Linked DNA regions of Tribolium castaneum. The protein of the gene in region 1 binds, or shares a complex with, the protein of each later gene. Links are inferred from orthologs where the notes say so. Each region holds a gene or a part of one and is shown on either strand. Other genes may lie near its edges.

Region 1 (4,100 bases):
AGACCAGCTCGAAAATCATGGAATACTCTGTTGCGATGCGCTTGAGCCATCTTGGCGTGAATGTAGTAGCAGCAATAACCAAGTTCGGTGATTTTCTTCGCCAACAATTCGACACGTTGCGTGGAATTGCAGAATATTATGCTTTGGTTTATTTGTAACTAGAAAAAAACTGTCAGAAAAAATAAACCAAAATACCAAGAGCCCAACCTTTGAAAACAGAGTATTTAAACAGTGTACTTTCTGACGTTCTTGAACGAACGCATAGTATTGCGTGACACCTTTAAGAGTGAGCTCCTCCATGAGATTGATCTCGTACGGATCTCGGAGATGTTTTCGCATAAACTGCTCAACTGTGAGAGGAAACGTGGCGGAGAACAACAGTATTTGTCTCTCTTGCGGTAAGTTCTTTATCACAGTGTCGAGCATCCCCTTGAAGTCTTGTGAGAGAAGCTTGTCGGCTTCGTCTAAAACTAGAATCTTGCACTGGTCCATTACGGCGACACCCTTTTCCATCAGATCGAGGATGCGGCCAGGCGTTGCTATAATAACTTGTACTTTCTGGTAGATGCGCATTATGTCATCTCTTAAATTTGTTCCACCGGTCGTTACCATCACGCGCACGTCCAAGTGCTTAGCGAGCTCAATGCAAATTTGTGACGTTTGAAGCGCGAGCTCTCGTGTAGGCACTATGATCAGTGCTTGAATGCAGTCTTTCTTGGGATCGATCTGTTCCAACACGGGAATACTGTACGCACCGGTTTTACCTGAAGACCAAAGCATTCAATAATTGACAGCCAATTTTTAGATTATGTCTGTAAAAGTTTGGCCCTCTTCTTTGTCTTTTTTTATTATAAAAATATTGATTTGTAACTAATTTCCAGTTTTTGGTATATCTGATATGATATATGTATAATGATAAATGCAATAAACAGTATTACATCCAAAAAAGATAAGCAAACAAACACAAGTGAGCTAGAGAGGTAATGTATTTCGAGTACATAACGAATACAAGTAAACAAGGTCACCCAATTTACAATAGGCAGTGAACAAATAACGATGATTTTAACATTTCTGGTGTTTGTCTGTGTCTCGGTTCGAACTACCGCTTATGTAGTGAAAGAAAATATAAAAAAAAACACAAATTAATTTTTTACATCGCGTGTTTTTTAGAATAGGACAGTTTAATAATAACACGTATTTTTTGACATCACAAGTAAATTAGTAAATTAAGAAAGTACAATCAGAATTACAAAAAAGAGAACGTTTTATTATTGACTTGATTGTTAAAAAAATTTTGTACAAAAAAGCTCAATTCTGCGAACTAAATTACCAAATAAAGTAGCTTGACTGATTTATAGCGCCCACTTATTCGAGCTGGTATTTCATAAGCGCAAATTACTGTATGTGATTTTTTGCGTCATATTCAAAAATAAATATGACTATTAGCAAAAATCAAGCCATTAGTTTTGCATATTTGTCCCCCCATCCAATTATTGAGTAACAGAACAGGCTTACTAAATATGCACTAAACATTGAGTAAAAAACATACCTGTGCCATTTTTTGCCCTTGCAAGAATATCCTTGCCAGATAACGCAATTGGAATAGAAGCTTCTTGGATAGGAGACGGTTTCTCCCACCCTTTTTCAAAAATACCCATTAATAATTCTCTCTTCAAGCAGAATTCTTCAAATTCATTTCCCCTGGTATCAGTCACATCCTAGTAACAAATACTTGATAAAATAACGGTAACACCTTTTTTGCACGAATGGTGAAAGAAATGCATGAAATCAGGCAAGACGTTATCATTTATAAGAAAAATGAAGGGGAATCCATAGTGTCATCATGTTAATAATGGAAAGCTTTGAATATTATTCCCGGTTTAGACATGCAAGTGACCCAAAGCCTTCCAAGTGACCGTGAACGTACAAAGCAGTGAGTTTTAACTTACACTGGTCTGTATTCTCCTATCCTTGGGTGGAATCTTCAGTTTGGCTTTCCATCCCATGTCATCCATTTTGGTGTCAATATCACTGCAAGGAAGCGGTTCGTCACCGCACATTCTTAATGATAAGCAAACAACTTACACTTTGCCTGACAAAGCCATCACATGGTTCGAATTCAATGTGTCCGTCATCATAATTGTAGAAAATACTATTGCAAGTGTATTAAAAAATAGGGTTTATAAAACCCAAATCTTCTTCCTCTACAATGTGTAGGATAAGTACAGTTCCTAAGATCCCTCACAGGAACGATAATAATCTGCAAAATCCCAGTTTAAACATCAATGACGCAGAAAATTTAAGGTCAATACGGAATAGATATAACCACAAAAATAGAACATCCCGTAATTGTTGCAGTGTCAATAATAGCCAGGTCATGAACATTCACTGGCGATACGGAAATAAAACCCTCAAAAACGGCCAAAAGTTCGACGATTGCAACAAATAAACAGGATTCAGATTTCTAATTAAAATGGCTACTGATTCTTGTGTACAGTGCACCGTCGACTACACATAAATTATTGCACAACGACGCAAATTTACCTGATTCTGGACAAAGAATTTAAGGAATACCGTCGAGACACCCTGGGAAATACTCAGACATTGCTCATAATGTGTGATTTTTGCATCAAATCGCTCTTTTCGAATAACTTTTACCACTGATATGGACGCTTTACTCACCAAAAGGAAAATGACTTTCAGCAATTAACAATGGCCGCGAATCTGCAATGCCAGGATGCTCCGCTAACCAAAGGACAACCCGTGAGATGGCGCGAGAAACAATCGGAAAAAATCAAAGAATTTTTGAAATTTTTGGCCAAAAAATACAATTTTTTTATGGCAGTGATAACAAAGCGCCCCTGATAGGGTCCGTCTCCTTCAACCATAATAAAATTAAGTAACCACTCATGTAAAAAGCTCACAAAAAAGCGTTCAAATTGCGCGCACCACCTTGTTCTCTTCTCACCACCCACAGCACCACCTTGTTCTCTGGCACCACCCACAGAATAACAGGTTTTACAGAAACGCATCTGTCCTTGTCCCGATAGAGCGAAAGTGTCACTAGCACATCTATTGTTGCCAGCGCGTACTAAGCGTTATCGGCGGGCGATTTGAATTGCCCGTAGTTACTTTTCTTTTAAAGTTTGATTGCATTTTTCGTATTGTTTGTAAATATTCACAACAATAGTTGCTAATAACACTTTCTGATGTTAGACAACTATTGTTGCTGAATATTTACAAAGAATACGAAAAATAAAATATGAGAATAAATAAAGACAATAAACTTGTAATAAAAATTTATTATCACTAGTCAATATACACGATACGATAACTATAAACTAATGATTGATCCATCAAATTATTTATATTCCCACAATAAAAAAGTTCAAAAAAGCACACACACGAAAAAAACCACAAAACAGTACTAATTTCACATAAAACAAAGCCGAAGGCGAACACCAAACAAACCAAGCACAAAATGGCGATTTACACAATGGCAACTGTCACAGGTCCACTGTTAATTTCTGCCGATATTATAGGTAGCTTCGCTAAAATTGACTATACGTGTGTGCGACATCTGCGATAGCAAGCCGAACTACAGTCGATTTTGAATTTGGCGCCTATACTTGGCTTGGTGCATTTAGGTTTCACCACCCTGGCACCACCTTTTTCATCCATGATTTGACAGCTATTTAACCTACAATTTGTCGGTCATTTTAATAACAAATAAACAGAATTTTAGCAAAAAATTGAGATTTCGGTAATAACTGTATTGCCGCATTTTTGGAGAGTTACATTTTGCAATAATTTTCAGTATACGTCATGACTGCAAGCAAGGAGGTTTTTGTCGATTTAGAGGAAAAATTCAATAAGGTCCTTAAGTTACTCGAGGACAGTAAATACGACCCTGAAAATCAGCCTTTCGTGTCGAAATATGCGGCCAGCGAGACCCTAGTCAGCATGAAAGCGAGTCTAGAAAATGTGATAGAAACTCAGCCAGACAATGACAAGATAAAACTAACAGGTGGTGCCACATTGTTGTAAATTTGCCTGAAGGTGATAATTTTAGCAATGTTGGGAAGTGTGTACCTGTATCT
Region 2 (3,518 bases), about 6.9 Mb from region 1:
TGCAGCAAAAATATTATTTTTAACATGTGCTTTTTGAAGTTAATAACTTTTCTTGCCAAATTTCGATAAGTTGGGCAAAGATCACGACAATATTTTTGCCACCACGCAAGCGTTTTTCGATTAGAAACTCAAATTTTGACCCTCGTCATTCAAAAATACGCCGAAAAATTACCTAATTGAAAATAATTTTTGAGTTCGTTTGCGAAAAGAAACTGAGTGAACTGAAAAAGCACTAAAATTGGTCCAAAAAATATATTGCTCGCATTTAATCATGTTTTAGAGATAAAAATCACTAAGTTGGGTCAAAAATTATCTTAGTTTCTGTTTTCAGAGCATATAAGAACATTTTCTCAGTTAGACACGCAGTTTTATCATGAAATTTCGTCAACAACACACCAATAAATTTCTGAATTAGAGTTAATTTTTTACAAAATTTCGATATACCGGTCATTAATCAGATCCAAAAAAATATCTCTGTATCTTCTAACCATTTTAGCACGTATTATGTCAAATGTTTAGTCAAAACCAAGACGAACCAAATGTGAATAATAAAAAAATGTGTTATTTTTGCCTTTTAGCGGCAAACCTTCAATTGGAGCTTAATTTTTGTACTAAACTGAGCCGCTAGTTAATATATTTGGATAATAAAATAACCATTATTTGTCTTTTTTGAGGGTTTTAGGATGGTTTTTAACCAGGCACAAAATAGGATAAAATTTCGTCAAAAAATGTATCAAGAAATCCCCAAATTAGGACAAAAATGATGTTTTGTCCCAAGAAGCTTCTTTCGAGTGTTTTAATTTTAACACGTATTTTAGTCGTTACGGAAATATTTAAATGTAACTTGTTAAAAATATTGCGAGTGTTGAAATTGGAGTTATTTATGAATGTGTGTTAGATAAATACCCACCAGAATTCGTCGACCACTGCGAGGTTGAGGAAGCGTTTGCCCAAGTCAGACTTTGACCATTCCAAATGCTCCCCGAATTCGAAACTGGAGCTTCTTTTTCTTTGAGTTGCGCAGCCATTCTCGCCTCAGCTGTCAACTTTGCTAATCTCTCCTGTTCTTCGGCTTGAATCTCAGCAACAGACTTAACTTTCCTCGGTTCAATCGGTTTCTTAGCCCAATTCAACTGAAGACCACCGGTTTTTTCAATTTGTTGTTGCTGTTGCAACTCTTGAAGTTGTTGTTTTTGGAGTTGGAGAGCCGCTTCCATTGCACGTTTCTCTTTCTCTGCTTTCTGAATATCGGTCAAATTTAGATTTGATGTGAAGTTTGATTGGCACCATGGAGCCGTTTTGGAAGCACCTCTCGCCTGGCTCTGGTTCAATTTTGCCACTTCTGCCAGCTTTTTCTCTTCTTTTTCCTTCTCACGTCTGTTTTTCTCTTCTTCGATTTTTTTGAGCTCCTCGTTCTTTTTTCTCATTTCTTCTTCGACTTTCCTCTGTTCTTTAAGTCTTCGTTTCTCGTCTAGTTCCCGAAGTCGCTTCTCCTCTGCTTCTTTCTTCGCCTTTTCTAGTTCCTTTCTTATTTTTTCCTCCTCCTTTTTCTTCTTGTCTTCGGCGGCTTTGCGCTCCGCTTCCTGCTTCTTTTGCTCTTGTTTTCTGCGTTCGTCCGCTTCTTTCTTCGCTTGTTTCTCTTCCTGTTCTTTTCGTTTCTTTAATTCTTTCTGTGATAATTCCTCTTTCGGTTTTTTCTCTTGTTCTTTATCCTGGACTGGTTTTTCAACCCCTTCAGGTGTTTGCATATCCCACATTGATATGCTCGCATCAGTCTGTTGGGGCCACTGGTTTGGGGTACTCACCGGGGGCGCACCGAATTGGTTTTGTTTCTGCCAGAGTGAATCCAACTAAAATCGCAAAAATTAACAAAACATCGCAAAAATCGCCCAAAAAGACTCACAGGCAATTGTCGCTGTTGCTGGAACTGTTTCAGGAAATTTGTAATTGGATCGTTGTCTTGTCCTGGTGGTAATTGATCCATTGAGGGGCGATTTACGTTAATAGGACCGGGAAGACCAGTCGGTAAATTCCCATGCATTCCAGGTAATGTTGGAATTGGGGATGTTTGTAAATTTGGCAAAGTGTTACCCAAGCCGTCGGGAGGTAGAGACGATGTTAGATTTGAAGGAACTCCACTCCCTGGGAGGTGGTTGTGGAGACCAGGAGTTTGCATTCGGTTTTGCAGCGAATGCATGTTTCCCATCTGAACGAGAAGAGGATCGAGCTGATTAGGCACACTGCTGGGAGGTTTGTCCACCAGGACTGAACCTGGGAGCTTATTACTCTGAACAAAAAAATAAGCCATACTTCAGTCACCTTAATGTATTACTTCATTTAGGACCGGTTTATAGAAAGCTTTGTTAAAATTCCATTTGATCACGTGATCAGTTAATCACGCTTTTAATTGCGAATTAAATTAATGCGCTTTTATAAACCGGTCCTTAAAATTATTGCGTTTCGATTTCTTTCAAAGCATTTTAAAAAAAACTGAAACAATTTAAGTTGAGTCAAGGCATTTTTAGACGAGTTATTTATAGACATGTTATCCACTGTTTACGCATTGTGTAATGCATAAATTAGCAAAAAGGAGTTAAAATTGATCACAGCATGAAATGTTTTTATTTATTTTAAATATGAAACACGTTTTATGCTCAAAATTAATTTTTGCGCTAAGTCGAGTCAAAAAATCAACAAATCGGGTTGAAAATGAAATCAATTTGTATTTTTTTCTGGTGTTTTTTGATATTTATTAACACAAAATTTCGTCAAATATATAATAAAAAATCGCAGAATTTTAGTAGCAATTAAGCTAAAACTAACCCAAAAATCACCAAAATTGGTCGTAAACACCTTTTTAAAACGTACAAGCACTAACCGATTCGGAAAGTTACCAACTTGGGTTACTTCAATGTGTGTCTTTCGAGTGTTTGGAATGTTTTTTTGTCATGATACCACGAAATCTGTACGAAATAATTGTATTTTTACCTTTTTTTTGCAAGATTGAGATAGAAATAAAATCCCATTATTTTGTTCTCTTCCAGCACATTAGGTAGAATGAATAAAATGTAGTAAAAGCTTTTACTATTGTTTTATCTCTTTCTCACTCATAATAATAAAATATAAATTAGGTCTATCTTTTACTATTACAAGCAAAAGCATTTACATCACTTTATTCACACGGCCCATTAGCACGTTTTTCATCATAAACGTAATTATCTCAAAAAATTAGAACGAAAACAAGACAAATAATAATTACTAAATCAAAGATATAAATAATATGGTAGTTCAAATAATGTTATTTATGCCTGTATACAATGTAAAAGTTCGTTTTTCAAATAAAGCTCGATCAGTTTGCAAATTTTCGCAAAAACTGCAGGAAAAAGACAAAAATGTCCATATTTTCGACTTTTTCGAGGATGTAGATAGATACGGTTTTACGCTAAAACTGTTTGCTTACTAGTCCTAAACTGACAAATCACCAAGCGACATTGTAATTGAGCTTAATTTGCATTTTT

What was found. The genes of interacting proteins can lie anywhere in the genome.
Region 2: the proteins of me31B (region 1) and Gyf are in contact, whole or in part, in a crystal structure (PDB 6S8R), measured with the Drosophila melanogaster proteins. The link is inferred for Tribolium castaneum from reciprocal best matches to the Drosophila melanogaster genes me31B and Gyf. Residues at the interface, in NP_523533.2 of Drosophila melanogaster: Tyr274, Ala275, Phe276, Val277, Glu279, Arg280, Gln281, Lys282, Val283, His284, Cys285, Thr288, Leu289, Ser304, Thr305, Gln306, Arg307, Leu310, Leu311, Lys314, Glu317, Leu318, Phe370, Pro420, Ile421, Lys423; in NP_001162827.1 of Drosophila melanogaster: Glu344, Asn345, Pro347, Glu348, Trp349, Ala350, Ile351, Glu352, Pro354, Ser355, Lys356, Leu357, Gly358, Gly359, Ser360, Phe361, Asp362, Ala363, Ser364, Gly365, Ala366, Phe367, Gly369.

Annotation. Positions count from the first base shown.
Region 1 is NC_087402.1:3,103,519-3,107,618, reverse strand, and holds the start of me31B (ATP-dependent RNA helicase me31b), read right to left. Parts: upstream 2,818-4,100; 5' UTR 2,683-2,817; exon of another isoform or gene 2,545-2,682; intron 2,261-2,544; 5' UTR 2,139-2,260; coding exon 2,086-2,138; intron 2,032-2,085; coding exon 1,950-2,031; intron 1,719-1,949; coding exon 1,550-1,718; intron 765-1,549; coding exon 208-764; intron 159-207; coding exon 1-158. Other genes in the region: KIF-binding protein, read left to right, coding at 3,826-4,027, 4,073-4,100. UniProt on the Drosophila melanogaster protein: ATP-dependent RNA helicase which is a core component of a variety of ribonucleoprotein complexes (RNPs) that play critical roles in translational repression and mRNA decapping during embryogenesis, oogenesis, neurogenesis and neurotransmission.
Region 2 is NC_087402.1:9,995,161-9,998,678, forward strand, and holds part of Gyf (GIGYF family protein Gyf), read right to left. Parts: intron 2,288-3,518; coding exon 1,904-2,287; intron 1,851-1,903; coding exon 911-1,850; intron 1-910.